Linked DNA regions of Mus musculus. The protein of the gene in region 1 purifies or fractionates together with the protein of each later gene. This does not show direct contact. Links are inferred from orthologs where the notes say so. Each region holds a gene or a part of one and is shown on either strand. Other genes may lie near its edges. The genes, in order: Cdk8, Med23, Med12l, Med9, Med13l, Med16 and Med24.

Evidence for each region.
Region 2: the proteins of Cdk8 (region 1) and Med23 purify together in Homo sapiens (affinity purification with mass spectrometry; 10 studies listed by BioGRID and IntAct, counting the BioPlex papers as one, with this or other methods). This does not show direct contact. The link is inferred for Mus musculus from reciprocal best matches to the Homo sapiens genes CDK8 and MED23.
Region 3: the proteins of Cdk8 (region 1) and Med12l purify together in Homo sapiens (affinity purification with mass spectrometry; 3 studies listed by BioGRID and IntAct, counting the BioPlex papers as one, with this or other methods). This does not show direct contact. The link is inferred for Mus musculus from reciprocal best matches to the Homo sapiens genes CDK8 and MED12L.
Region 4: the proteins of Cdk8 (region 1) and Med9 purify together in Homo sapiens (affinity purification with mass spectrometry; 10 studies listed by BioGRID and IntAct, counting the BioPlex papers as one, with this or other methods). This does not show direct contact. The link is inferred for Mus musculus from reciprocal best matches to the Homo sapiens genes CDK8 and MED9.
Region 5: the proteins of Cdk8 (region 1) and Med13l purify together in Homo sapiens (affinity purification with mass spectrometry; 6 studies listed by BioGRID and IntAct, counting the BioPlex papers as one, with this or other methods). This does not show direct contact. The link is inferred for Mus musculus from reciprocal best matches to the Homo sapiens genes CDK8 and MED13L.
Region 6: the proteins of Cdk8 (region 1) and Med16 purify together in Homo sapiens (affinity purification with mass spectrometry; 10 studies listed by BioGRID and IntAct, counting the BioPlex papers as one, with this or other methods). This does not show direct contact. The link is inferred for Mus musculus from reciprocal best matches to the Homo sapiens genes CDK8 and MED16.
Region 7: the proteins of Cdk8 (region 1) and Med24 purify together in Homo sapiens (affinity purification with mass spectrometry; 13 studies listed by BioGRID and IntAct, counting the BioPlex papers as one, with this or other methods). This does not show direct contact. The link is inferred for Mus musculus from reciprocal best matches to the Homo sapiens genes CDK8 and MED24.

Annotation. Positions count from the first base shown.
Region 1 is NC_000071.6:146,300,185-146,303,825, forward strand, and holds the end of Cdk8 (cyclin-dependent kinase 8), read left to right. Parts: intron 1-1,391; coding exon 1,392-1,517; 3' UTR 1,518-2,690; downstream 2,691-3,641.
Region 2 is NC_000076.6:24,868,520-24,873,050, reverse strand, and holds the start of Med23 (mediator of RNA polymerase II transcription subunit 23), read right to left. Parts: upstream 3,066-4,531; 5' UTR 2,953-3,065; coding exon 2,905-2,952; intron 2,598-2,904; coding exon 2,566-2,597; intron 2,388-2,565; coding exon 2,300-2,387; intron 1-2,299. UniProt on the Homo sapiens protein: Required for transcriptional activation subsequent to the assembly of the pre-initiation complex. Component of the Mediator complex, a coactivator involved in the regulated transcription of nearly all RNA polymerase II-dependent genes.
Region 3 is NC_000069.6:59,005,446-59,010,172, reverse strand, and holds the start of Med12l (mediator of RNA polymerase II transcription subunit 12-like protein), read right to left. Parts: upstream 3,196-4,727; 5' UTR 3,172-3,195; coding exon 3,073-3,171; intron 1-3,072. UniProt on the Homo sapiens protein: May be a component of the Mediator complex, a coactivator involved in the regulated transcription of nearly all RNA polymerase II-dependent genes.
Region 4 is NC_000077.6:59,946,525-59,951,335, reverse strand, and holds the start of Med9 (mediator of RNA polymerase II transcription subunit 9), read right to left. Parts: upstream 3,123-4,811; 5' UTR 3,070-3,122; coding exon 2,858-3,069; intron 1-2,857.
Region 5 is NC_000071.6:118,558,972-118,563,678, reverse strand, and holds the start of Med13l (mediator of RNA polymerase II transcription subunit 13-like), read right to left. Parts: upstream 2,961-4,707; 5' UTR 2,894-2,960; coding exon 2,822-2,893; intron 2,818-2,821; exon of another isoform or gene 1,868-2,817; intron 1-1,867. UniProt on the Homo sapiens protein: Component of the Mediator complex, a coactivator involved in the regulated transcription of nearly all RNA polymerase II-dependent genes.
Region 6 is NC_000076.6:79,894,079-79,897,022, reverse strand, and holds the end of Med16 (mediator of RNA polymerase II transcription subunit 16), read left to right. Parts: intron 1-71; coding exon 72-264; coding exon of another isoform or gene 265-269; intron 270-458; coding exon 459-675; intron 676-1,312; coding exon 1,313-1,396; intron 1,397-1,612; coding exon 1,613-1,739; 3' UTR 1,740-2,316; downstream 2,317-2,944. UniProt on the Homo sapiens protein: Component of the Mediator complex, a coactivator involved in the regulated transcription of nearly all RNA polymerase II-dependent genes.
Region 7 is NC_000077.6:98,708,584-98,712,661, forward strand, and holds part of Med24 (mediator of RNA polymerase II transcription subunit 24), read right to left. Parts: coding exon 3,950-4,078; intron 2,718-3,949; coding exon 2,680-2,717; intron 2,507-2,679; exon of another isoform or gene 2,403-2,506; intron 2,273-2,402; coding exon 2,190-2,272; intron 1,871-2,189; coding exon 1,692-1,870; intron 1,580-1,691; coding exon 1,480-1,579; intron 1,175-1,479; coding exon 999-1,174; intron 1-998. UniProt on the Homo sapiens protein: Component of the Mediator complex, a coactivator involved in the regulated transcription of nearly all RNA polymerase II-dependent genes.

The DNA.
Region 1 (3,641 bases):
CAGTCATTTCAAAGGCAAAGACAGGATTCTAGTCAAGTGAGCTCTAGGGTCAATTGAGAGGCCTTGCTTCTGTGTCAAGTGGAGAGGAATCAACATCACCTCCGGTTTCCACACGCATTCGTGCAAAGTGAAGCAAAACACAGCTTCAGTGTTTCTCATCTATAAAATGAAGTTGGTAAGTCAGCTTAAACATGTGTGCCTTGAACTTAGCCAATGGCTGCTTTTGTTCCTGAGCACTGTAGAAGAGGAGTCAAGGCCACGGGCTCTTAGATCCCACCTACTTCTGTTCAGCCTTGAGTAAGAGAGAGACCTGGATGTTCTCCATGTCTTAAGTGTGGGGAGGAAGGTAGAACAGAAATCGCTTGCAGACGGCATCAGCAGCAGCAGAGTAGAAACAGTGACTAGAATGTGAAGCTGTGGGAAGACTGAGTGGCTGTGTGTTCTGAACATGGTGGCCTGCCTGGGGAAGCCCTGCACAGAAAGTGCCCTTACATGGTAGAATGCAGCTCATGAAGGATGTATGAGTTTGTGTATGTTTTTATATGTGTGGGCACACAGGCATGTGGATGTAAGAATGTGGTGTGTGTGTGTGTGTGTGTGTGTGTGTGTGTGTGTGTGTGTGTGTGTGTGTTCAGGCCCTAAGTTGATATCAGGTGTCTTTCCCTTGTTTACTGTGGCAGTGTCTTACACTGAACCCAGAGCTTGCAGATGTTAGCTAGTCTAGCCGACCAGCTTCCCCTACAGATCTTGTCTCTTCCTCCCAAGTGCTGGGATTACAGAGAGCCACCATGCCTACCAGCTTTTTTTGTTTTGTTTTGTTTTGTTTTGTTTTGTTTTGTTAAATACGTGTTTGTTTGTTTGTTTGTTTGTTTAATATATGTGAGTGCACAGTTGCTGTCTTCAGACACACCAGAAGAGGGCACCAGATCCTATTACAGATGGTTGTGAGCCACCATGTGGTTGTTGGGAATTGAACTCGGGACCTCTAGAAGAGTCAGTGTTCTTAACCGCTGAGCCATCTCTGCAGTCCGCCTACGAGCTTTTATATACTCTGGATATACACACTGAGTGCCTCATGCTCATGTCGCAAGATATGATCAGAATTGCCCACATGGTGTCCCAATTCTTACCTTCCTGGAGAGAAGCTGATGTGGGAAGAGTTGGGAGCTTTGTTTGTTTTTGCTCTGTTTTGCTTTGTATGGGCCAGCTGAGGGGTTTGCTGCTGCTTAGCCAGTGTTTTTATATTTTAATTCTAAAGCTAGTGCCTTACAGAAACTTATACATCTTTGCTTCTTTGAAACAAGATTCCCTTCCCTATCAGCCTTGATGGCGTGGGGCCAAGCTACCTCGAGAAGTCCCTGAATCACGCTTTTCCCTCGTCTTCTTTCCAGCGTTCCAATCCACATGCTGCTTATCCCAACCCTGGACCAAGCACATCACAGCCCCAGAGCAGCATGGGATACTCAGCTACCTCCCAGCAGCCTCCACAGTACTCACATCAGACACATCGGTACTGAGCTGTGCTGGAGTCTGTCAGTGCACTGTTGCTCATGCTGCAGGACTGGCTGCGGCACTCGCGGGAACCTGGTGTGGGCCATGCGAATGTACTGTACAACCACATCTTCACAATGTCCAGTAGCCGAGTTCCACCAGTTGTCACAGATTGGGGTGGTAGCTTCCAGGTTGTACCTAAGTTTGGAGTTAGACTTGAAATGAAAGTGCTAGCACAGTTGTGTTGTGGGTTTGCTACTTCCATAGTTTACTTGACATGGTTCAGACTGACCAAGCATAGTTTTCAGTGACAGTCTGTAGCAGTTGAAGCTGTGAAATGTGCTAGGGCGAGCATTTGTCCTCGTGTGTGGTGACTTTGAGTGTAACAGCGTGATCTGACCAATAGTACACACAGACGCAAGGTTTAACTGGTACTTGAAACACAGATTATGTTAACAAAATAACCAAGATTTAAAGATTATTTTGGTACACCTTTCTTTTTAGTGTCTTATCAGTGGGTTGATTCATCTTCTACATAAATCAGTGTTTTATGACCAAGAATATTGCTTGGATTGTTTTGAAAGTACAAAAGAACCACATAGTTTCTACTGACAGGTTTCAGAGCTCCCAAAGATTAATTTCCAACTTAGAGGTTTGTTTTTATTTTCAACCTATGACGACTTGACTGGTCTTAAAGCTGCTATTTGATAGTAATTAAATATGTTGTCATTGATAGAAGCCTGTTGGTTCAGCAAACTGAAATGAGTGTTGCAGACAGGGTTTTCTTTTCCTCGTTGGTGTTGCTGATTTGTGAGCATGCTTTCTGAATACAAAAGCATGAGTGGCGACCTCCGTGAGGCACGGTGACCTCCTCGAGGCACGGTGACCTCTGCGAGGCACGGCGTCAGTCCGCACTCTTCTGTCCTGATTTGAAGCTGCCTAGTGTAGTGCTATTACAATTTTGTTCAGTTAACTTTCTTTTTAAAAGGTTGTTCGCACATTTTTAGGGTGCCCTTACTTCAGCAAAGGAGAGGGAGTAGGAGAGCCTTAGAACTTTTGAGGGGAAAATAAAAAGCTATAACATACAACGTACTGTATCAAACTATTTTACATGAATGACACAAGTATTCTGAATAAAAAAAAATTGAACATTGTTAAAAACAAGGTGTTATGTAATAAATTTATTTTTCATAAATCAATGTATGGTGTCAACTATATTTTTCAAATTCACCAAGGGTCTTTTGTTGTATTTTAAAACATGCCTCTGTATAACTCTTCCCAGTGACTTATTGGTGACAACTGATGGCTTAGGCTGAGGTGTGCACTCTGGTCAGCTGTCTAGGTCTGTAGCACAGGGGACAGGTAGCTTTATAGTCGGCTAGTTCTGGTAATGGTAGTTCCACTCCGTTACCCTTGGTTCCTCCTTTTTAGAGCTAACAGATATTTTCTCAAAATCTGAAGCCATCCCTTTAAAAACAATCTAGCGCAGTCCACGAGCTGAGGAATCAGTACTGGTAGGCCTGACCAGAAGAGAAAGGGGGGTTGCTGGGAGTGGCATTTCCAAGTCTTCTCACCCCTGTTCACACCCATACTGCATGCCTTTGATCACACAGGTCCCTCCTTAACCCTCTGAATTGAGTGGTTGTGTTTGGTTTCTGTCAACCTTAGCTCTCACGGTGTTTCTTATGACCCTTACACGTTGTCTTCTGGTGTTTTTCTCCTATACTGAGTGGCTTAGAAGCCCAGTGGCTGTGAGGGCCACCTACACATTCCCCCTTCGCCAGCTAGTTCCAGAGATTGACTCAGTAGGACTTGGGTGGATATGGAAATGTGGCTCCTTTCCAACGAACTCCCCCAGTCCTGAGACGTGAGCCTGAGAAATATGTTAGGAAAGACCATTCTGTGGGGCTGGAGAGATGGCTCAGCACTTAAGATCACTGCTCTTCCAGAGGACCATAGGCCAGATCACAGGCATCTTAACTGCAGCCCCAGATGCCCCCTTCAGGCCTTCATGGGTACTGCATACATGTGGCCTATCATGCACACTCAGGCAAAACACTCGTAAAAATAAACCTGTCTTAAAGAAGAAAGACTGCTCCAGGGCCACTCACCTCCACAGCGAGCGAGCCACCAGCAGAATTCAGTGACAT
Region 2 (4,531 bases), on another chromosome or scaffold:
ACAGGGGTGCAGCAGGCATGGCACTTGCTGAGTTTGATTCCCAGGGTCCGTATAGTAGAGACTCTCTCTTGTAAGTTGTCCTCTGACCTGTACACAAGTACTGTCACACACATACACACACACACAAACACACATACACACACACAAAGTTAAAATAAAAAGACCAACAAATATTTTAAAATTAAAAATGCATAAAATGTGCTAAATATTGAAAGATAAAAAGTAAATTTTACCAAGATAAAATTTCCCAGTGCTTGATACACAAGGATAAGAAAGTATTACTATTTTATTATATGCCTTCAGGAAATTATATTGGTTGTTGGTATTGATAATGTAAACTAGATAACCCTTATAAGAAATAATTAGGTAATTTCCTTAAAATTATAAATTGCTGGGGTGATTATGAATGCGTATATCTCAGTACTGAGGACATAGAGACAGGAGGGTCATGAGTTCACGGCCAATCTGGACTACAGATCAAATCCCAGGCAAATCTGCGTTACACTGAGATTATATCATGTGTGTTATACACCTCCCCTCCATAACTAAGACAAAAAAAAAAGCTTTTGATTTATACCAATATTATGCCCAATATTCAATCCTATGCCTGATCAATAGTACTACTTACTGTAACACTACTTAAAAGTAGTGGGCCGGCCGGGCAGTGGTGGCACACGCCTTTAATCCCAGCACTTGGGAGGCAGAGACAGGCAGATTTCTGACTTTAAGGCCAGCCTGGTCTATAAAGTGAGTTCCAGGACAGCCAGGGCTATACAGAGAAAGCCTGTCTCGAAAAAAAAAAAAAAAAGTAGTGGGCCGGCGGTGGTGACGCACACCTTTTATTCCAGCTCTTGAGAGGCAGAGGCAGGCGGATTTCTGAGTTTGAGGCCAGCCTGTTCAACAAAGTTCCAGGACAGCCAGGGCTATATAGAGAAACCCTGTCTTGAACACACACACACACACACACACACACACTCACACCCAAAGTAAGTAAAAAGTGAAGAGAAACATCTAGCTAAGCATGGTGGTCTATCCTATGACACCAGGAAGCAGAGGAAGGCAGACTAAAAGTTCAAGTCTAACCTGGGCTACATAACAAAACTCTATCTGGAAAAAAAGAAAGAAAAATTTGAAAGCAAGAAGGTAGTTAATAAATATAGGTGGTAAGGACACATAACAATATGCTACACCGCTATAAGAAGTAAGAAAGAAACTGTAACTCAAAAAATTCCTTGAAATACCTTTAGAACTTATTATTAATGGTGAGAAGTACAGAGCTAACTGCTGACCAATACCTATGGTATATGGTGATTCTATAAAAATAATTCTGAGCCGGGCGGTGGTGGCGCACGCCTTTAATCCCAGCACTTGGGAGGCAGAGGCAGGTGGATTTCTGAGTTCGAGGCCAGCGTGGTCTCGAACTCAAAAAGCAGAAAATAATAATAGTAATAATAATTGTGAGCCTGAGGATGTAGTTCAGAGACGACTGTGTGCCTAGCATGTGGACACATGTTCACATGTTCGGAGACCAGTGTGTGAGGCCCTGTGTTCACCCCCCACACCCCAGCACTGTTTAAAGAGAAAAGAACGAAGATGGCTTTATAATCCTAGAACTCAGGACACAGAGAGACAGTCTTATAGCTAAACAGTTCTGGGAACACAAACTAGGATGCTGGCTTCAGACAGGAAGGGCAGGTGGCTGAGCTAGATCAGGAAGACGGCCAGCGTGTGGAGCTTGGTCACGCTTGCCTTATATATTTCAGGTTCACGTCAAAGCATGACCTGTTGAAAATAGAAAGTTTAAAACATGAACATATTGCCTTTAGGATCCATAACTGGGTGGCAAATTTTATACTAGCTCACAGGCACAGAAAGCCCAGCGGCTCACTTCTCTGTCTACAGTGCATCATGAGAAATACTACTCTAGTGGGGACTCTATCACAGTGTCTTTATGAGGACATATTTATAAATACTGGGCCATTTTTTGAATAGTGACATTTTTCTTTTACGAGAAAAGTTTAGCATATCTGTTTCCATTCAAAGCCAATTTATACAAAGAGGATAAAAACTACCTTACATAATATAACATAGAAGGAAATTTTTAAAACATTTCCCACTGCAATCTTATTACCTTGAACTTTTAACACAGGTTCTCCAGTAAGTACATTTACATAAAATGACAGCAGTCTTATTTTTCCCTTTCCTAAACGATCTTAAGAAAAAGATCAAAGAAGATGTAAAAAGTAAAAAGGAAGGCGTCAAACGTCATTAAGTGGATGTTCAACATGAAATGTCTCACCTGAGAAAGTCCACTCCAAAACTGCCGGAAGGCCGCCAAGCAGCTAATTAGTTTTGTTTTTTCATCCTCGGGGGTATCCATAAACATTCTGAAAAAACAAAAATCACATTATCTGCTGCTAGTTTTAAACAGGTACACATCCTGCAAGGTAGATTTTTTTTAACTCCTCAAAACCAACTTAAGTGGAATCTAACAAAGATAAATCTACAAACAACAATTAAAAAAACACACACACACACACAAAGATCTGCCTGCCACATACTCACCCTGGGAAGGCCTCTTCTATAATTTCTGTTTTCTGCAAACAAACAAAAACTAGTAAACGATCTGACTACTAAAAGGGGGCGGGGTGGGAGATGTCCCCGAGAGAAATATTCCCGGGCAATACAGATAGAGCACGACACTTTTATGGGGACCGCGGCGGGAACTAACAGCACTTTCTTAGATCTGGCAGCAGTCCGGGGATGGGGGGACCGCCACCCCGGTTCAGACGCCTATGTCAACATAGGGGCGGGAAAGGAGCTGGCCCAGGCCCGCAGCCTGGAGCCGCACGCAGCCTGCACTTCCCGGAGCCATGGCTCTGGCTTACGGACAGTGGCACTCACCACCACCTCCTCGAAAATGCTCTGCAGTTGCGTCTCCATCGGTACCATCGAGCCCCGGGCTCCCGGGGAACCCGGCGACAGACGGGTGAGAGCCAGGGTCGGGAAAGAATGGAGCGGAGGGGCGGAGCCACCAGCAGGAAGCCGCCGCTCTCTCTTGCTCTGTTACTTCCTTCGGTGCCAGGCGAATGAGCCCGCCCGGTGCTTACCCGTTACCAGCCCCTCTGAAATCTGTATCTCAGCCTGTTGGTTCCGCTCGTAGAGGTGACCCCGTAAGCTGACAGCGCTGCTTGATCCCGGGCAAGGCCACCCTCTCCTGGCTGGAGCCGGAACTGCGACCTGTTTGGAGTTTCATTTGCAGATCCGAATCACAAGGGCTGTGGCCAGAACCAAGTGGGTGACTGTCAAGAGCTGACCTCGTGAAGCAGTTGATACCACGTTATTCTTGCCCAATAGGACCCATGTCTTCACTATGGTACCCTCAGTTGCTAGCACAGTGATGGGCGTGTCGTCATCGTTTATTGAATGTTGAAAAAAAAAAAAAGAATAAACCCTTTATTGTTAATTCGCAAATAAGTGGCGGTACTAAGTACATCATTTTAAAACAATTTTCCCATCATCCTGGTAAATTTCTGAAAACTTTTTTTTTTATTGTCTTAGTATGAAGAAATTTTTGTCTATCCAAAGGCTATTCGTCAATGTTTTCTTCCAGAAACTTTGTTCTAGCTTTGGTATTTAAGTCCATATTTTTTTAATTGGTTTTCATGACTGGAGATAAGTTCTCACAGGACTTTTCCCTCTTTGGGGAGATGTAAATAAATGTTTATAAACCCTAAATAGAGGACATTGACAGATTAAAGAAAGGATCTTGCCGGGCGGTGATGGTGCACGCCTTTAATCCCAGCACTTGGGAGGCAGAGGCAGGTGGATTTCTGAGTTCAAGGCCAGCCTGGTCTACAAAGTGAGTTCCAGGACAGCCAAGGCTACACAGAGTAACCCTGCCTCAAAAAAAAAAAAATCTCATTCAAATCCAGCTTGGTAAAACAATGAGCTTATTATAGTTTCTTATAGAAGCACGTGACTCGGGTACCCTCATTACTAGGAACTCCTACCTCAAGCATAGATGACTTACAAAAAGGCATACCAGTGTAGTACCCTCCCAATAAAATATTTAAATTTAACACAATGTTGGAGAATTAGAGGGGCTTCTGGGGAATCGTGTAAGGACCATCTTGAGTTTCCATGGCGTCTTCATTTTATTTTATAGTTTTGAGACAGGGTATTTTGTATCCCAAGTTGACCATGAACTTACTATGTAGCAGAGTGACCTTGAATATTTGATCCTTCTATTTCTCATGGCGAGAGATGGGACGCCCCTGAGACTATCTGCCAGGAAGAAGTGTTGGGTTAGGTTTCAGATTGGACCTGGGGTTAGGGTTAGGTGTGCTAGGGTTTGGGTTAGGATTGAACTCAGGGCTTCCTGCTTGCTAGACAAACAGTTTACCAGTAAAGACACATTCCCACTCCCATCTCTCATGTGGGTTTCAGGCAACTGAAGCTGCTCTGCTCTAACAGTGAAGCAGGCACTGCTTCCTGAGAGCTTATGGGCAAGAAGCTGGTGATTTTCCAG
Region 3 (4,727 bases), on another chromosome or scaffold:
TCTCATTCAACTCTAAAAGGGGAAAAGATGGTTTACAGGGAGAAAACAGGGTGTGTGGACAAAACAGCCAAGATTCAGGCAAACAGAATGGCTCCAGGCCCCACCTGCTAGGTCACAGCTATATGAGAACAGGATGAAATGTTGAGTTTGGAGGAGAAAAGGCAGGCAGGTGACCAGGTAGACAAGAGTTCCAGGAAGGAGAAAAGTCAGCCTAAAGCCAGAAAAGAAGCTCATCAAGTTGGTGAAACTCAGGAGCAGCATCAGATTAGTTAGAAATCCAAACTATCCCAGAGGCACACCAGGCAAGACACACTGGTGAGTACATACTATGGGTAAGGAGATAAGCTGTAGAGGAAGAAGACTCGAGAAAGACCCCTGCTTTTCTGATTCCCCATTTTTAAAGGGGAGGGCAGTCTATGTGCAGATGACAAAGTACTCTACCACCACATTTAATAAAGTCTAAAGGGAGACCAGGGCACTGCAAAGCTCGTGAATGAATTCGATCAACTGATGAGGCAGGTTAACGGATCTTTTCATTCTGTCTCCACAGAGTCCTCCCGAAGGATTCCACTCCGTAGCCTGGGACCCTATTTCCAGAACGCTCTTACCACTTCTTATCAATAAAAACTTCATCGGTAGCAATCAGGCAACTTTGGTTCAGTGAAGAATAGGGATTTTCTTACCCAAACATGAGGAAAATTATAAAGTTTTACCTTGTTTTTCCTGACGAGCACAACTAAACTAGTTAACAAGAGAGGCGTGATCCAAATTTGCCAACCACTAAGATGCTCAACCATAATTCAAACTCACCACGGTCAAACCGGAAGCCTGGACTTCCTCCATTCAATCAATACTTTATCTCAATGTGGTGGTACAGGTCTAGGATCTCAGGACTTTAGAAATGGAAGCAAGATCTTGAGTTCAACATCAGCTTGGGTAGATCAGTGTGACCGTTCTCAAACAAATCACCACAGCTCTCTGATGGATAATGGTATAGATTTGGCCTCCTTCAAATATGTGTAATTATATATCTTGTGTTTGCATATAATAACATATATGTGTGGGGGGGTGATGTCTTATACAATCATATTCATATTGCAGTAAACTGCAAAAAATCAAGACTGTCCAGAAAACACAATACAGTTTATCTACAGTTAATAAAAGGATCAAATTACTGGTTGTACAAGGACAGGGTGGAAATTTGAGGGAGTAGTATAATACATAAATAACTGAAGCTTAGGAATCTGCTCGCCACCAACCAAAAAAACAGCCGAGCACCTGTTCCATATTGTACCCAAATTTGACTACAGCCACATATAACTCTCTCCTCAAGAGAGATAGAATATCGGTCGCCTGGGGGGAAGTGAATCCGAGGAGCAGCAGCAGCAGCACAAGTCACCGGGACACAGTGCAGGGCTGAAGGAGGGCTGCGCTGATAACCCAGTGTGTGCTTATTCACCACACACTTCAGATAAAGCAAGCGCTTCTGAGCTGCAATCACCCTATCTCCTCAAATCAAAGTAGGAAAAAAGTACCCTCTACAGGCACTTCTTCCAGCTTTAGATTTCTAGAAAGTGACCCAATGTCCAAAATTATTCTTTCCAGGATCCAAGTCCTGAAGTGACTGTCATATGTAAAAATAAATGCTAAATAAACAAGCACACATGCTAATCCAAGCCACCAACCCGAAGCTACGTCACTCTCCAGAAAGACCTAGTGAGGCACTAATTATAAGATGAGAAAAGTTAAGAAACGAATGTCCCTATCCCTGCCAAAACTTTTAAAATCACCTTTCTTTACACTTGGTCTTTAGAGTCTCTCTTCTTTCCAGACCTTAGGAGCTGCATAAGCACATGCTGCCCACCTGTAAACTTCCCAGCCATCTTCAATCGACTTCCCTGACCCTCAAACTCAATGGGAGAAGGCCAAAAGGAATTGCTCGTGATGATTTCTCAGACACATTATTAGCCAGTCTGGGCTGAGCCTCTACTAAAGAGACGGATACATTTATCAAAATAGAAGCCTGAAAGAACTCTGACTTGCAAAGTCCTCTTGTGAAATCAGGGGACACGCAAACTTTTATAGACTTTCCAGGCTCACGGGAAGACTAGAATACATGGCAGTTTCATGCTTAACTATAGAAAAGAGAAGATGGGTGGGCTGTAGCTGGCAAAGTCTCAAAGGACAGCTGGGGAGCAGGGGAACCAAAAAAGAGAAGATAGGCAAGTCTCTGGGCAAATTGTATAGCCAAGGGCGATCATTATTATGGCTGGAGAGTTGTTACATAATTACTTTTTAACTCCTGACACATACCTACATAGCTTACAATAACCACTGAAGCTACTGTATGTGCAACAGCCAAGGTTTCTCCATTTAATTTCATTCAAAGAAAATAAGTAATCTGGAAGCTATTCCTTTCTAAGATAACTTGTCTGCTTTTACACATACAAAACAGCCTCCGGGAAAGCCAATTTGTCTCTCTAGAAACAAAATTCGGTGTTTCTCTTCAATATTGTTTTCTTAAATTTTTTTTAAAGGCGAGAGATACAGAGGTACATTCACCGAGCCAAATATATGATCACCTCGCTAAAAAACGACTTCCATTCCAAAGTGGAGGATGTGATAAGGGTCCCTCCCCCATCCGTACCCATACCGCTGGCGCAAAACGCAAGACCACAGTGTCCGATGTACTGCATTCCAGCATTTGTCAAAAAGTTTACGAGGATTTATCGAAGCGACGGAGTAAAAAACAATAAAACAAGCAAAAACGGAGGAAAGCGAGCAAGAAGATGCTAGCGAGGTAGAAGCGGTAAAGCGCCCAGCGGCGCAGTGCAAGGCCCGACAACCGGGAAGCGACCCAGCCCCCCGCAGAGCGATCGCCCAGCGGAGCGCGGGGGTTGGCAGGCTCCGGGTCTCAGTAGCTCAGGGTCCCTGATACCCTAACCCGGGCCCCGCCTCCGATCCCCTCCCCAGCCCTTCCCCCGCAGCGCCGGGGACGCCCGCCGGGCCAGCTTGGCCCCGGGTCAGCGCTGCGGAGCGCCGCACAACCGCGGAGGCCGCCGGCGCCCTTACCTCCTTCTGCTTAGGGTCCTGCGGGTAGACGTCGGGCGGCCCGAGCCGCGGGCGCTTCAGCGGTCTCTGCTCATAGCTGAGAAGCCCGAAGGCGGCCATGATCTCTCATGTTAACCGGCGAAATGAATGAGAGTTGGAGCTGGAGCTGGAGCAGCCGCCTCTGAGCACCAGGGAGCAGCACTTTGCAGACAGACTCCCTCTTCCCTCCACTCTGGCTCGCCGTGGCGCTGCAGGCAGGAGAAAAAGCAGGTTGGAGACGGCCGCTGCCCGCGCGCAGACGCGCTCAGGGGGGCCGCCTTCGTGGGCACCCCGCTGCGCCGAGCCCCGGGACGCCTGCTCCGCGGGCGGCGGCGGCGGCGCCCGGGCTGGAGGTCGGCCAGGGTCCGCCGCGGCCACGGCCTCCCGCCACCCCCACTCGGTCCCCAGGGGGAGGAGCAGATGATGGGAACGTGTGACTTTCTTCACCAATGAACCCAAACCCACCCAGAGGGGCCCAGGCTGGGGTGGGGGAGGGGCATAAAGGGGGAAAAAACTTTTCTTGGCGCCTAGGCGGGAGGCTCGGTGCCCGCCGAGAGCTAGGCGTCCTCGGGCACGCGAGGTGCTGCGCAGCGGCCCGCGCCCACTTCCTGGCTCGCCATGCCCGGCGCTCGCAGCTTTGCACTCGGAGGACCCGCCGCCCGGGCACGGAACCGCGGACGCGGAGGGAGAGAGGCCGCGAGAGGCGAGGATGCGGACGCCGAGCGAGGCCGGTGCCTCCGGGTTCAGCCAGTGCACGAGCTGCGCGGGTCCCCTCGGCGGCGCCGGGGCGCTTTGCTGGCTGCCGGCTGCAGCGGCCGCGGCGGCTGGAGGGGGCCGCGCTCGCTGTGGCGCGGGGCCGACTTAACCCTTTGCTGGCCCTCCCGGGGCTGGGGAGGGGGTGAGCAGAGGTGGCCGCGAGCACCGACGGACACATCGGGAGCACGGGCGACTGGGCTCCCCGGGCCACCCCTAGACGTCGCGCGCCCTGATCCCCACCCCCAACAGTTTACCTGTTGGTCCCTAGCTAGCGGCTAGGCAGGGGCGGGCAGCCGGGACGCCCTGGCGGCCGCAGCCTCCATCGCTCCGTTAGGGTTGGGGAATTGGATTTGACGTTGCGAGGTGTCTGGCTCGCCAGACTGCGGACGCCGCGAAGTTTGCGGCTGCCTGGGGGCGTCGCTCGCTGTCGCCAGCGTTCTCGCCCCCACGGCCCGGGAGCGCGAGCTCCCGAGTTGGCGGACGGCGGCGCGGCGGCCGCACTGAGCATGCCCAGCTTGGCGGCCGGACCGCGGAGGAGTTGGCTGCGAGCGCCTCGAGCGCTCCCATCTGCCTCTCCGGGTTTTCGCAGCCGCAGAGCGCGCATTCCACGGGCCCTGCGCCCCAGCTGGCTGCAGGGTTAACCCGGCTATGGAACCAGCCCCAGGAGGGACCCCGGGCCTCGAGCTGCGCCCTCCGCCTCGACCCCTCCTGGGGTCGCCATCCCGGCAGCCTAGGCGAAACCTCACCTGCTCGCATCACAGGGATGGGAACCGCGGGGAGGGGGCGATCCTTTCGGGGGATCTGGTCAATCCACCTGCCGGCGCCCCTCGCTTGCTCCAGGTAGACACACAGATGCGGGGCCAAGAGCCGTGAGCATTGAG
Region 4 (4,811 bases), on another chromosome or scaffold:
GCACTTTAGAGTATCTCCCAGTTCTATGAGAAGTGAGCTACCGGCCCAAGCCTACCTAGTCATAAGTCACAGAGCTGAGGTTTGAACCTAATGTTCCTAGCTGGCTGGAAGTAGATATGTAGACCAGGTTAGCCTTAAACTCAAGAGATTTGCCTCAGTGGCCTGAGTGTTGGGGCCTAAAGGTGTGCACCACCACTGAGATCAAACTACTACTGATGTATCGAGACAGAAAATTACCACCTGGGAAAACTATTTACAAAGATGATAAAGCAAGCTTCAGCAGAGAGTTGACCTCAGACCCTCTGACTTCACATCGTGTTCCTGTCACTGAGGCTGGCCCAACCCAACTGCTCTTCCGGGTCAGGAGGATCCTTCCTGAGGTATAGGTGAATGTGTATACATCTGTGTTCTGATTTCCCATGTTTTTAATGTTTGCAAGTTACTCTGAATAAACCAGTACTCCAGCACTGCCCTGAGATGGTTTTTATTTTCCTCACTTCCATCTCATAATGTATTTGCCAACAGCTAACACAGAGGGGACAGTCTGCCTTACCCTGCATACGGGAGGTTCACGTTGTCTGAAGCCAAGAGAGGAGTGAACGTGAGAACCAAGGTTTTGCAGTCATTTGAAAAGCGGCAGATGAGCGCTGTGCTATCCCACTTTTATGTCAACTTAACACAGAGTCAGCAGAGAGGAAGGAAACTCAGTTGGAAAAATGCTCCCACAGAAGCATGCTGTAGGCGAGCCTGAAGAGCATCCTAACTAGTGATTACAGTGAGGAGGCCCCACCCACTGTGGGGAGTCACCCTGGGCTGGTGGTCTTACTAGAGTAAGAAAGCACGCTGAAGTTGGGCAGTGGTGGCTCATGACATTAATCCCAGTACGTAGGGGTGTAGACGCAAGCAGATTTCTGAATTTGAGGCCAACCTGGCTTAAAAATAGTTCCAGAACAGCCAGGAATACAAGGAGAAACAAACACAATAAAAAAGGAAGAGAGAGCGCACTGAGCAAGAAAGCACTCCTCCATGGCCTCTACATCAGCCTCTGCCTGCAGGTTGCTGCCGACTTCCTCCAGTGAGGAAAAGTGATACAGAAGTGTAAGTCAGATAAACCCTTTCCTCCACAGTTTGCTTTTGGTCAGTGTTTCAGCACAGCAGTAGCAGTCCTAAGACAAACACCAAACCACCAGAGCAAGAAACCCAGACTGCCTCAGCTCCAGCAAGAGGGCTTGCCAATGTTCCTAAATGTGACCGGAACTGTAATCTTGTCTTAATTTACTTTTAGTATCTAATGGTTTAGAAGAAATTCAGAGGTTTGCACCTAGTGTCCTGTGGCTATACAGGTATGTGCTAAATAACCTGATTAATGCCAGATCATATATTCAGTAACTGTCTAATGCTTATAATGTAACCAAAACCTTCCTTTGCCTAATGACAAAGTAGTTGTGGTAATGTTGCAGCAGAATGCGCCACTCACAAGAGTGTGAAAAAAAAAAAAGTATACTGCCTGATGGATAAAAAGTATTACCTATACAATTACAGGTAGTTCTTAATGCTTGATAATGATAATAAATAATGATGTCACTAGTTTATGGATGTATTATACTGTAGCGCTTCGCCTTGTTGCCTAGAGACAGGGTCTCATATTAAATAGGAAGTTAACAGTGTCAGCCAGGCAGCCTGGCCAGAGCTCTTGAGATCTGTCTGTAGCGCTGGGACGCTGGGGCTCCAGGCACGAGCAGCCATGACTGGCTTTTTATGTGGACGCTGAGGATTGGAACTCAGATCCTTGTGCCGTTTGTACCGCGAGTGCTCTTACCCACCAACCTGTCCAACTCCCAGTGTTGCTAAGAATCCTGACTGCACAAAGAGGCACCAGGCAGTAACTGTTCCGCGTCACCTAAGTTTATCAAAGCACACTTGAGAATGCTTGCACCAAAAAGTGTACCTCTTGGAAATGACCCAAGCGTATATGGAGTGAGCAAAAACATAGGCCATCATGGAGACTGGAGACTTTGGGCCTAAAAGACCATACATCCTTGTATATTCTATTAGAATTATTAGAATAAAGTTAATAGTGGGACACAATCATTCAGAGCAACTTCTGTGTCTTCGTTTCAAATGTTTCCTAGCATCACTTCTCCCCTCTCCACTTGTTTGTTTGGAGACAGGGTTTCTCTGGATAGCCCTGGCTGTCCTGGAACTCACTCTGTAAACCAGGCTGGCCTCGAACTCAGAAATCCGCCTGCCTCTGCCTCCCAAGTGCTGGGATTAAAGGTGTGCGCCATCTCTCCACTTTTAAGAATGTTTGTTTGTTTTTCTTTGCTTGTAACCGTTAAGCCCTGTAAGGGTAAATGGCTGCTCCTTTCTTTACGGTGTACAACCCTAGTACCTAACAGAGCCCACACAGGTAAGATGCCTCGCATTGAAATGGGTACTAAACTGTGTACACGGTGAGAATCTCGAGTCTGAACGTCTGAGGTCCACCAAAATTCGAACACTTTTCGGGGCTCATATAATGCCACAAGTGAGAAATTCCGCTCTGGGCTTCATGCGAACAGTCAAAACGCAGGCGAATTAAAACAACTGTATAAAATTGCCTTCGGGCTATGTGTAAGGACTTAAGACCCATCCCCAAGTCACTGCAGGATCTGGGATGGGACACTGCAGAACCTATCTATGCATTTGATCAGTACGTGGGCTTCACCCGGGAGTAAAGTGTAACTCTTAAGGCGCCTGACAACGTGGGCCCTCTGGGAAAATGGGGCGTGGTCCAGAGCCCACGGGCTTTGGCAGCTCGGAACCAGGGACACTAGAGTCGCAAAAAGTGGTGTCTTAACCTTTCCTAGACCCTTACCATTTGATGACATTGTGAACCAACGGCAAAAAGGAGTAATTCTCCTCCTTCGCGCCAGCGGGGGACTGAGGCCGCGGAGCCGCCGGCGGCGGGAGCGCAGCGACCGGCAGAGGCTGAGGCGGTGGTGGCGGCTTGGACTCCGGCAGCAGCTCGGGCGGTGGCTGTAGCGTATCTTCGGCCTGTCTCCCACCCGCCACCCCAGAGGAAGCCATAGCACCAGGAGTCCAGCAGCTGCCGAGGGGCGCTGGGTGCTTGCGTCACAACTGCGCGCCCGGGGAGGCCGGGCGGGAAAAAACTCTGAGTCTGCGCCCTGGGCGTAGGCGGGCGGGCGTTGCTAGGCGACGGGTGTCGGGAAAGCTAAATTGAGTAGTCAGGATTAGGGAATCTACTCCAGTCATCTTTCTAGTTCACATGACAGAGAGAGGTCAAAACACCAACGAGGACCCCCGGGACTGGCAGGAAGAACGGATGACGCTGGTGAGCACCGTGTGAAACTGAGGCTCTGCGGCAGCGAGCATCCAGATGACAAGGACTTACACGTCTTTGTGTCATGCTAGCCTCCAGGAGGGCCCCAGACTGGCGACAGCAAAACAGGCCATACAAACTAGTTCCACACGGCTGCCAAGGGGAAAACTAATCGTTCTTCAAGCATTTGGTATGCATCTAGCAGGTGCCAGACTACATACGTATATAAGACTAAGATCTTGGACCAAATAGGAGAACTTTACGATAGGCTTGTATTTATTCATTTCAAGCAAATGGGCTCCATTAAAAATTTTCTGGACAAGGGTAGCAGTAATTCTGATTCTGACTAACAAAAATCAGGGATTAGGGAAGCTGTCAACTGGGAGAGGACATCTGTCTTTGATGACAGGAACCATGTCAGTAAAGAGAGGCCAGGAGCCCACATCTCAGAAACAAAAAGAAGCAGGAACGTGGAACTTCACAATGGTGTTTTCAGGTTTTTTAGCTACAGGTCTCAGAATTGTTTTCTTCAGAGCTGCAGATAGTTCTCTAAACAGAGGCACTGTCAGGAAAAGAATAATCTCAGTGTTGCTCAAAAGAAGACAGAAACAAAGTGAAACAAGGTGATTTATTTATTTCTTGAAAATGAGTGCACCAGAACTCAAGATAAGATAGCAGAAACACTCAACAAAATGGCCACTTTCTTCCATCTCAGGCTTAGGTGCATTTCATCCCATTAGTGGGAACACAACTTCTCAATATGACTCAATGGGCTAATCACCCAAAGGGAAAGGTGGGTGGGGGGAGTGGAGTTAGGGAATACAGGCCCCTGTGGAACTAAGTGTCTGATTAGAAGAACATTTCTCACTGCAGGAAACTGTAGGATTTCCTTCTAACCCAGGACCTCTCCACCTTAGGGGAAGGGCCATGATTCCTGAGGAAGAAGGGAGAAGAGAATGGTCTAAGATGGAACCAGGTGTGCCAGAAAAGACTTGAAGACACCTCTGGAGACATCTGGGAGAATGCATGGTAAAACGGCAGTGTTAGCAAACAGTAGCTATCACTACTACTGTGGAATGAAAGTGACGAGAAACCATTAAAACCCTCATTTAATCCACCGAGAAACTCTGGAAGGTATATCTTAGTTTTCCATTTTATAGAAAAAGAAACAAAAGTTTACAGGGCTATAATAGCAGCCCCAGGATCACAAAGCCACAGAGCTTCCTTGACACCAAGTCTATGTCTAAAATCTACAGGTATGTGATGCCAGGCTCCTCCCTGATCTGTAACTTTTGATTCAAAATGTTAATGTGAGCTTTTATTCAGAATTCAAAAAGCATCTAGTAGCCATTGATACTATCCTCATAGCAACCAAACATCATCTTTCCCCCCTTAATGTGTTTTATAACTTAATTACAAGTCCCAAATCTATCTTTGGCAGAATGAGGGCATCTCTTTAAAAAGCTCTTGAGATATAAATAGATATGGC
Region 5 (4,707 bases), about 28 Mb from region 1:
CTTACACCTCCATCCAAGCTAACAGGAGCATGTGGGTGGGTAGTGTTCCAGAAGTGACTATTCTGCACTCAGAAACAAAACTGCAGGCCAAACTTTTCAAAAATACAAAATGCTAGGTACCTAGAGTTCTGACAAAAAAAAAAAAAAAAAAGATTTTGAAAGGATGCCTCTCCTTTGAAATCAACTATTCTATACAATGTTCTTTACGCAATGTATTCTCAATAAGTAAGATAGGTTGCTGCTGTGTGTATGCTCTTCAGAAAAAAATTCTCAATTAAGAATCCGAATAAAGGACTGTTGGCAGTTTATTCTTGGTTTTGGTTTTCCGTGGGTCTCTTTTATTTGGCTTGGTTTTCTAAGAAAGTTTAGGGCTGGAGAGATGGCTCAGGGGTTAAGAGTACTGACTGATCCTCCAGAGAATCTGGGTTCAATTCCCAGCACCTTCGTGGCAGCTCACAATGGTCTCTAATTCCAATCCCAAAGAACCCAGCACCCTCACACAAGCAGGCAAAACAGCGATGCATATAAAATAAAGATAAATTTCTTAAACAACTAGACAGCATTTACCTACCTCGAGGTATCAGGAAATACGTTACATTTTAAAACTAATCTAAGCCATTTCTGCATTTCAATGGAGTTACCCAAAAAAGTTAATTGTACTTTATATTCAAGTCAACTTTTTGGTTTAAGCGGAGAAATACCCAGAATGCAGTCAAAATCAAAGTCCAGAAATTAAAGAAAGAATCCGGACCATCTCATCTCTACCCCATAGATCCCTGAAGCTGAGAGTGGAGCTGTGCAGTCAGCAGGCATGCATTTGCCTGCACAACACACTGTGTATACATTAGCCACATGCACACAGGCAGCACTGCTCTCAGCCTGATGCACAGCAAGTGGGAGCTCTCCCCAGCTAACACCAGCTGACTTGGTTATTTTAATTACCTATAAAAGTGTCATTGCGGTCACCCAGTCACCAAATTGGTTGGGGGGGGGGGTAAATACCGCCTAGTCAATACATTTGCTGATCTATGAAGGTCCCTGAACCTAATAATAAATGACAGACAAGGGAAGGGGGGGGTGAAAAAAGAGACAGAAGTAGTTTTATCCTCACATCAAAAGATCAACGGTAAATTACCACAGGGGTAAAAGGAAGGACCCCCAACTTCTAACTGAACCTCGAAACAGCCTCAGGATAAAATTCGGGGTGATCAGGAATCAGCCTGCTTACAAGAGTGGGAGCAGGGGGACTGTGTCACTCCTGTGTCTTTGTAGGCCAAAATCATGCTTGATTTCTTCATCAGCATGAAAACAGAATGACACTTCCAAAGTTGGCAACAATTCCTCTTTCTCCACTAGTCTCCAAGGGGAGAAAAAGCATCTATGCCACCCATAATTAAATGTAACTAATTACAATTTGAACACTAAATTATTTATCCAGTGTAAACAAGGACTAAAAGGAAATAAAGCTTCTATCTGCAGCAGGGGTTCCAGAAAATAATTTGCAATAAATGCATGCTCTCCAAAAGTCAGCACCCTCCCCCCCAGCACCCTCCCCACCAAAATTGGGCACACAACTAAAATAAGTTGAGTTTTTAAGGCTAAATTAAATAGGCCGTTCAACCAATTTTCCAATTATATTCTACGCTTGAAACATAATTGCCTTACATCTGTTTACAAATCTTTGCTCAATATTTAAACAAATTCGTACTCTCCCGGGCACATAGCTACACACACACAGTAACTCAGGCACAAAGCGCGTATTTAAAGACCATGCACTCCCATTATCAGCGTAAGCGCCGGGTTTAACAACGCGAATGTTTTCAGAGCTAGGTAATACGACCCAATAAAAAGCAAAGATGGCATTTACCACCAAATGTCACTGCCACCGCCAGGAAAGAGTTGCTGGAGCTCTATACATTTTTAATTTCGACGAATCGAGCCGCCGTCGCCCGGTGCCAGGCTTCCAGAAGAACAATTGACACCCTAAATGGTTCGAGATTAAGGCAGGCGATGCACTTCCAAAGCAAAAGTTGTCAATTATCAGAGGCGAGAGCGGGAGAGAGGAGAGGCGAAGGCAGATAAAAGCGATGTTATCAAACCGCCCAGCTTGTTGCTCGTGTGTGTGTGTGTGTGTGTGTGTGTGTGTTCCTTGTTAAAGCAGAGAAAACAGTTTTTAAAGGCAGCGGAGGAGAGCGAGGAGCAGCAGCTTCCTCCACCTTCCGTGGGCTCCGAGCAATGGCTCTCCCGCTCTCCGGCGTAGTAAACCCCGAGAGGCGGGCGGCTGTCCGTGTTTACAACGGCGCGAGCGAGCTCCGGCTGCCAGAGTCCTTTTCCCTGACACCATCGCCTTCCATCAACTGTTTTCGGGCGAAATCGCAGGTGTCATTGTGGAAATATTAAAAGGAAAAAAAAGGGAAAAAAACGGAGAAACAGAGGAAGAGAGAAAGAAAAAATCAGAAGGCAGACGCCGGCGAGTGGGAGAGCAGCCGATCCGATCGGGAGAGAGAGAGAGAGAGAGGACGAGCCTGCAGCTCACCCGCGCCGGCGGCTGCACAAGGCAGAAAAGCCTTCCACATTTCGGGGAAGGAGGAGAAAAAAGAAAAAAAAAGAAAATAAGGGGGGAAGGGGAGGGGAGGGGGTGTGATTGCCACGGAGGTGGGCGCTCCGAGCGCGCCCCGGCGTCCGCAGCGCCCCGACTTCCCCACGCACGTCCACGCCGGGCGCCGCGCTCGCCGACGCCGCCAGGGCTCCGGGAGGAGAAAGTTGCGCGGCGGGGAGGTCGCGCCCCCCAACCCGGGCTCCCCCCCGCCCCGCCACTCACCAGCGAGAAGAGGTTGGAGTGACAATCCTCCAGGCTCGCCCCGTTCGCTACCCAGTTCGCCGCGGCGGTCATGGTCCTCCGCGAGCCCGGCCGCCAGAGCGGGGCATGTCGGAGCGGGCCGGGCCGGGCGGCGGCGGCGGCGGCTCCCGGGCACCAGGGGCGCGAGGCCCGCGCGGGAGGCCCGAGGGCGGCGGTGGCGACGACGGCGACGACGGCGGCGGCGGGGGGCGCGGGCCGGCAACGCCGCCCGCCTCTGTCGCGCAGGGCCGCCGCCTCCGCCTCCGCCTCGCCGCCTCGTCGGCCGCCTTGTTTATCTCCAAGCCGGCGGGCGACTCGCCCTCGGCCGCGCCGGCGCGGGAGGCACGCGAGCCCCGCAGCCGCCCCGAGCCGCCGCCGCCGCCGCCGCCGCTGCGCGAGCCCGCGAAGGGGGGGGTGCGGACGAAGCCAGCGGGCGACCCCGGCAGCCGAGCGCCGTCCCCTCCTTCCTCTTCCTCCCCACCCCCCCCCTCCTCCCCAGTCGGCCGCGCTTCTCCTCCCTCCCCGGGCTCGCTCGCTCTGACAGCAATGGCGGCCGCCGACCGCGGCTCGGCCCGCCATTGGCTGCGGCGCGTCACGTGACGGGCGCCGGCCGCGCGGGGGGCGGGGGAGGGGCCGCGGCGGCGGCGGCGGCGGCGGCGGTGGTGGCTCGCGGGAGGCGCTGCTGAGCCGAGCGAGCGCGGCCCTCTCGGAGCGGGGTGACGGAGCCAGGGAGGGAAGAGAAAGAGGTGCGGGCGGCCGTGGGACGCCGGGGCTGCGTGGACGCCCCGCCCTGGGCGCGGGCGCGCGTCGGGCGCGGGCCGAAGAGGGCCGCGGCTTCCCCGGAGCGGCCTCCGAGCCCCCCTGGGGGAGCATCTCGGGTCCCCGAGGAGCGGCGTGGGCCGGCCCGGCCTGGCCGAGCGAGCCGAGGAGTGTCTCCTCCTCGAAACCTCGCGCGCGACCGCCCGCCGGCCTGCCTGCCGCAGCGCACCGGGCGGAGGAGTAGGACTCAAAGAGACACAAAGGCAGCGAGCGAGGTGCTTGCCCGGGGTCGCGGGATTCGAACCCAGGCATCGGGAAGCCAGGGCTCGGGACTCACTGCCTCCCGAGCGCTGAGCTCCTAAAGCATCCCGGCTGCTGGAGCCCTTGGCGCCCACTCTGTGCGTGCACGCAGGCATTCCTTACATAGATGATCCCAGCGCTCTTAGGTGCCACATTCACACTGGGCTATGTGGAGGGGAGCAGGCCCTTCCTCCAGCTCCAAGCGGTCAATAATAACCAGCATCCCTTCTTCAGAGAGTAATGGGACTGGGAGAAGTGCTGATGCCGGAGACTGCCTTCCAGGACTTTTCGTCGTGGAAATAGAGAAAGGGAGAAAGTTGACTTGGAAAGAGGTAGAATTAGGCAGGCGTATCTCTATGAGTTCCAGGCCAGCCTGGTCTACACACTGTCTCCAAGAAACAAAGGAAGAGTAAAACGCTGGAAAGAGCGGTGGAAGCAAAATAAAGCGGGCACAAATCTGACATATGAATGGAGTTTTGAGACTACCACAAACCTTAAACCCTGGAATGAAGGTGGCCCGAACACATAGGTCATTTCACAGAGTCCTCAGAATCGGGGTGCAATAGCATCCCCAAGGTCCCAGTTACTGAGTGGCTCAACTCCTGAACTATCTGAATTCAGGAGGCTCTGGAGAGGATGCCAGGAGCTGGCTCTGCTACACCTAGCTGTGACCCTGCCCAGCAAAGTTTAACTATGCCTCATTTTCTAATCTGTCCAAAGCAAATCCTAATTGCTGACCTGCTGACCTCAAGCCAAGGTCACACATTTCCGTTAAGATGCTATTGGGGGAAGGGTTACAAGGGGGAGTT
Region 6 (2,944 bases), on another chromosome or scaffold:
GCCCATTGCGTGCACAGCAGCTGGGGACTGTTCACATCACGCCCTCTCACTCCCAGTGTCCCCACCCACAGGGCTCCCCGCTAAGGCCGGGCCACAGCTTCCTCCGAGATGGTACCTCCCTGGGCATGCTGCGAGAGTTGATGGTTGTCATCCGAATCTGGGGCCTGCTGAAGCCCAGCTGTCTGCCCGTCTACACAGCCACCTCGGACACCCAGGACAGCATGTCCCTGCTCTTCCGACTGCTCACCAAACTGTGGATCTGCTGTGAGGCACTATCATACACATTCTCACAGCTTCCCTATCAGCCCACCTCCAGAATTTAAGCTTCCCGCCACTTCCCCAGCACTTGGCAGGAGCCCGTCCCTAATTCACAGTTGTGATGTCTGAGGGCAGAGCCCTAGGGAGACGTAGCGGGTGCCACATCCTTCAGTGCGGTGACTCCCGACCCCTCCCCGTAGGCCGTGATGAGGGCGCAGCCAGTGAACCAGATGAGGGTTTGGTGGATGAATGCTGCCTGCTGCCTAGCCAGCTGCTGGTCCCCAACTTGGACTGGCTTCCCGCCAGTGATGGCCTGGTCAGTCGCCTGCAGCCCAAACAGCCCCTGCGCCTGCGCTTCGGCAGAGCGCCCACTCTGCCCAGCAGCACCTCCACCCTGCAGCTGGACGGCCTCACCAGGTATGCACTGCCCCTCCCCACTGCCCATCCACCCCCTCTCCCTCCCCCACCCCCCGCCTCTGAAGGCCTCCACACCACAGCTTTGCTTCAGGGTTCTCTCCCACAGAGGCTCCAGCGCCTTCTAGAACATCGTGTCTCCAATGGTCAGGTCCTTGCAGTGAGATGAGAACTTGCCATTCTAGCCTTTGCTGTGTGCGTAGAGATGGGGTTTGTGGTTTTCCGACCAAGGGTACCTCTGGCAGTCCTGGCACTAACTCTGTAGCCCAGGCTGGCTTCCCACCAGCCTCCACCTCTGAGCCCACAACACTGCGTGGAGAATTCATTTTCTTCACCCATTTGGATTTGCTGAAGCTGTAATGGAGCCCTTGCCTGTCCCAAGCCATCGTTTGCTGATAAGGGACTGCCGTGCCCCTCCAACAGCGAAACCATTACCCCCTCCTGTGTGTATACTGTCCCATCAGTCACATTTGGAAGGTTCTAGAAGAAACACTGGCCCTATCTCACCAGGAAAAGGCCATTGGCTGTTTGTTATGGTTGAGCCCCAGGGTGACACACCAGAAGCTACCCTCTGCCTCCTGCCTGACAGGGCACTGTGGACATAGGTCCCACATCCCCCTCGCTCCCCTCTCATCCCCAGGGCCCCTGGCCAGCCCAAGATCGACCACCTCCGGAGGCTACACCTGGGCGCCTACCCCACCGAGGAGTGCAAAGCCTGCACCAGGTGAGGAGCTGCAGCCAGGCCCAGAGTTCTGGGCGTCCCTCCTGGGCCACACCGGCAGAGCCTGGGATCTGTGGGGTAGGCAGCTTGGGGAGGGCCTGGGCTGTGGCCTTGTGTCAGACCTGACTTGGGCAGGCTAGGGTTTGGGGCATACCACCTTGCTCAGCAGTGCAGTACTTGGGAGAGTAAGGTGAGTGTTAACAGTCCCTGCTTCCTCAGGTGTGGCTGTGTCACCATGCTGAAGTCTCCCAACAAGACAACCGCTGTGACACAGTGGGAACAGCGGTGGATCAAGAATTGCCTGTGTGGTGGGCTGTGGCGGCGAGTGCCTCTCAGCTGTTCCTGAGCCACAGCCCACCAGCCTGCGTATGTACAACCAGTCTCTGAACATTGACATTGCTGTGCTCACTGAGGCACAAGTACCCACCAATGGCCCCTGGGTCTGCCCCTTCTAGGGACATGCGGCATCTCTAGGGCCTGAAGTCCCATGGTCATATCCAAGCCAGTGTGAAGGAGCTGGGCTGTGTATTCATCCTTTAAAAGATCCACAGTGGCCGGGCGTGGTGGCGCACGCCTTTAATCCCAGCACTCGGGAGGCAGAGGCAGGTGGATTTCTGAGTTCGAGGCCAGCCTGGTCTACAAAGTGAGTTCCAGGACAGCCAGGGCTACACAGAGAAACCCTGTCTCGAAAAAACAAAACAAAAAAAAAAAAAGATTCACAGTACATAAAGCCCCTTGTCCTGCTTGGGGTCGTCTGCCTCAGTTTTCTTGTCCTGCTTGGGGTCGTCTGCCTCAGTTTTCTTGTCCTGCTTGGGGTCGTCTGCCTCAGTTTTCTTGTCCTGCTTGGGGTCGTCTGCCTCAGTTTTCTTTGGGTGCCGGTGGGAGGGGAAGACTGGCCCAATAAAGTTCTCTGATGCACTAGGCTTTGGCTGTCACCGTGGTCCCCACCACTCTGCCCACTAGGTGAGGCTCCGTGCTGAGGTACCCACACATTTGGAAACTGAGTGACTGCTGGCCCCACTTGTGTCACAACAGACTTTCCCCTCCCCAGCTGCCTCATCTCCTGGTTTTTGTGGCCTTTGCTGTAGTCCCCAGAGGTTCTGCTTTCTAGCATCCATACCACACCTGCCCCCTGCAGCCTCGGGTGGCCAGGCCGCAGCCTCTTTGCTCTTGGTAACTGGTGTTTTCTCCCTGGAGCCCTGTGGAGCTGAGTACAGGGCAATGGCCACGATGACCCAGCTCTGGGGAGGGCCTGCCTGAGCCGGTGCCCCGGAGGATGCTCCACTCTGCTTGGCTACTTTGTGGGTTCTTCTTTCTTCTACCCCTTCAGCCCCCTGACACTAATGGGGATAAGGGGTGACATCACGTTCAGACTGCCTCCCACTGATGAGGAGCATTGCGGTCCTTGGGGCAAGTTTGATGTCACCAGCAGGATATCTAACTTCTTTGCACAGGACTGCTTAACAAACAGCAACCAACCACCAATCCACTATCAACAACAACAACCCTAGCATATATATATCCTCTTAAAAATCCCCAGAATTGCAAATG
Region 7 (4,078 bases), on another chromosome or scaffold:
TGGCACCACTCTCCAAGTCCCCTTGAGGGTGGGTTGGGAGCCCCGAGGGGCATGGATATGCCATGTTACTCAGCCTTAAAAGGAAGGAAATCCGGTCACATGCCAGAGTATGAATGAATTTTGAGGAAATTATGCTGAGTAAAGTCCGTCAGTCATGAAAAAGCAGGTATTACGTAATTCTAGTTATACGAAGTATCTAGCGTGGCCGCTCAGAAGGACAGAGAGTCGCGTGGTAGCTGCCAGGAACTGAGAAGGGGAGGTGGACAGTTGCTTATTGGCTAAAAGCTTAGATACACAAGATGAAAAACGCCTGGAAGTCTGTTTCACAATTCCAACACGTTTCATATCCTGAACGATATACATAAACACGGTTGAAATGGTAAATTTCCTATTGTGTTTCTTGCCATATTTAAAAACCAACGGCCAAACAACTTATCAGTTGGGTGAATAAACAGACACCACCAAGCCCCGTGTAGCGGAAGTCCCTGAAGAGCCAGTACTTGAAATGGTCACCAGGACAGCTGGGGGTGGGGGAGGGAAGCCATAAAAACTGCAGATGCCTCAGAGTTCCTCGACAGTGACACAGTCACACAATCCCTTTGCTCTCTGGCCTCAGCTAGTTTTCTGGAACTTGCAGCCTTGGAGGACACAGGTCAAGCTGTCTGGGGTCTGTATTTCCCACGCATGGCAAGTACAGGGATTAAAACCCTCTCGATACAGAGACACACACCAAACATCTGCTGAGCCAGCTGAGTGAATGTGTGACTAAGAATGCGAGGGAGTGGTAGGGGAAGGCGAAGGAGGGAGCGAGAGTCCAACTACCCTGAATGTGCACTGCCTCAGCAGCTAAGCACGGTGGGCTGGTCGGAGCCTGGATGGAGGAGGAAGTGGTTGCTGAGCGGCTCCCTGGGAAGCGGAGGCCGAGAGCATGGGGTGGGATGTTTGTTCCTGGTGGTGCCGACTCCCGACCGCACACCTGCCGAGGCCGGGGCACTGACCTCTCATTGTAGAACTGCAGGGTGTTCTCGCTGTACAGTGGCCCTGCCAACTGGCGGATCATCTGCAGTGACTTCTCACGCTCATCCAGCCCCAGCATCCGGACGTGGGCCACGAGCCAAGCCACAGCACACACCGCCAGACTGCATACCTTTCCCTTGATATTATCGGTGATTTTCTGTGGGGAGGAGAAGGGAATGACTTGGGGACTCTCTTCCTCTCCCTGGCCATGACTCCCACGGCCTCTGGGGGCAGCTGGGGGTCACAGGTGCTATCCCAAGGTACATTTCACACCTTTGCAACATAAACTTGATTTTCTCAAAGACACCTGGACAGGATGAAGTGGCTAAGAGGAGGATACTATAGAAGACTAACACCAGAACATGATCTCCAGCTTGAGGATTTGTTTGTATGCAAAATAACAAGCTCTCAGTGACCAGCCCCGTGTCTCAGGCAGAGAGACTCAAGGAACGGTAGAGCTACCTGGATGGACTCAAATGCCAGAACCCCATTCTCCCAAGCGTTGAGGATTTCCAAAATGGCTGCTGAAATGCTGAGGCAGGCCTCGTGCCACTTCATCTGTCTACAGAGAAGATTAGGAGAACATCATGGCAAGGGAGCATGAGATGGGATTAGGGGGGAGGGCCTTGGAATGCCCCTCCCTACCACCCGAGGTCAGGACCTAAACCACTGACACTAGCTTCATCTCTGAAGAGTTGTTGAGCAGGGCCACCAAGGACTCGACTTTGGTGGAGTCAGGGCGGAAGCAGGGATGGTCAGGGTTCAAAATCTTGCCCTCCTCGGGCATGCAGGTCTGCATCCAAGTCTCAAAGAAGGGGACTTCTTCTCCTGAGCTCGACTCCGAGAGGATCACCTGGGTAAGACAGAGGGGCACCAGCTGAGAGAAGAGGGCGTGGCACCTGCCAGAGCTAGCCAGGGACTGGGCTCTATTGCCATTCCCTTTCCATAGTCAACTCTAAATCTGTCCAGGGGAATCAGACAGGGAGCGGTGCTGCCACCTAGTGGTCAGCATGAATTTGCCACGAGAGGACCTGTTGACATGGGAAGACAACAGAACAGGCTGGCTTGGGAGATCAGTCTGGGCAAGGGTGAGTAAGGGAGTTACTGGCGTTTCCTTCCTCTTTGCCCCACTCACTTGGGGCCTCTTCCTGTCACCAGCACTCATCACTTACCTCTGAGCCATAGGTCTGGGCCACATGGCATAGCATGAGGAAGGAAATGTCAAAGAGCAAGGCTCGGACCGAGGCTGTTTTCGCTGTGGGAAAGAGAAAGATGCCAAGCTCGGCCCGGGGCAGGAGCCCCAAGCCCTGTATAGATTGGGAGGTGCCAGGGACTGAAGGCCTCATGCACAGTAGCCAAGTGTGGAGGCTACACCCCAGCTCAGGATTTCCTGAAGGAAGGTCAGGGAGCAAGCGGTTCCTTCAAAGCTCTGAGGCTCAGAATCCTTTTCTTGGGTCTTATTAAGAACATCATCCCTTCCTTGGAATCCACAATTTCCAGAACCCAAACCAGTCAAAACTGGTCCAGCTGGGAGAAGGGCAGAGGGTGGTTTTGGCAGAGTCCCTTCCCAGGATTACCCTCATCCCCAGAATGAGCAGACGCAGCCCCTCCCTTCCTTCCCTCCTCAGGGCAGATAGGACCTGCAGATAGACACAGACTTACTGCTCTCTCCACTGCCGTGGGTCGTGAACTCATTCAGACTGTAGGAAGGACAGAGACAGGTAGCATCAACCAGAGCGAGGGCTGAGCAGTGTCACAGGAGAAGGGGGTAGGGCCTGGGAGGGGGCTACACATTCAGAGGGTGGGCCCTAGAACCTCAACTATAAGCTTAAATATAAAATGAGTATTATAATTACAGAAACAAATCACTAGTATTAAAAGGACATGGTGCCTCACACTCTACCCCAACACTGAAGAGGCTAACACACGGAGCATTAGAAGCCAGCTTGGACTACACAGTGAGACCCAAAGATTTGTAAGGAACCATGTTCTACACACAAAATTGCAGGTAGCCCCCCAAAAGTTACAGAATTTAAGAACCCATTATTAGCTGCGTGGTCATACACGCCTTTAGTCCCAAGACTCAGGAGGCAGAGTGAGGCAGATCTGTGCGTTTGATGCCAGCCTGGTCTACAAAGTAAATTCCAGGACAGTCAGGGTTGTTACACAGTGAAAAAACAAAAATAAAACAAAAAACGAAGACCATAAACTAGATAGAGCAGGCTACAAGAGCTCCCATGTCAAAAGTAAATAAATAACTGGGCCAAAGAACTTTTCCATGCCTATTATTCAATGCTTTATTTTTAAAAATTCATTTATCTTTTATTTTTATTTATTTTTTTTTAGATTTTATTTATTTATTTATTATATGTAAGTACACTGTAGCTGTCTTCAGATGCACCAGAAGAGGGCATCAGATCTCATTACGGGTGGTTGTGAGCCACCATGTGGTTGCTGGGATTTGAACTTCGGACCTTCGGAAGAGCAGTCGGGTGCTCTTACCCACTGAGCCATCTCACCAGCCCCCTATCTTTTATTTTTATGTGCATTAAGCATGTCTGTGTTAGCTATGCATCTCATGTGTGTACAAGATCCTGCAGAGGCCAGAAGAGGGCACTGGAGCCCCTGAGACTGGAGTTACAGACAAGTGTGAGCTGCCAAGTAGGCCCTTTGGAGAGCAGCAGGGCCCTCAAATGCTGAGCCATCTCTCCAGACCTCAGCCTCTCCCTGCCACAGGCCTCATTATCTTTGCAAGCGGCTTTATTCCATCTTCAGTGAGAGAGAGAAGACCTCTCAGTCGAGTGACACGTCTGTCACAGTTTCTAGTTAGGATGTTCTGCCCTGGTCTGTACACCTCAAAGGGAAACCCATATCCAGGCATCTCCACCCTCACACGACCTCCCATCGCACAGCAGGGCATAGCTCTACTCACTTGATGAATTTCCGGGCGAAGGATTTAAGCTTCCCAGTGGCGGCGGCAGCAGCCAGCAGCAAATCCAGGCTCTTCCCAGACAGCATATGTCCCAGGACCCCTAGCAGTCCCTCCGGGGACTTGGAGTGA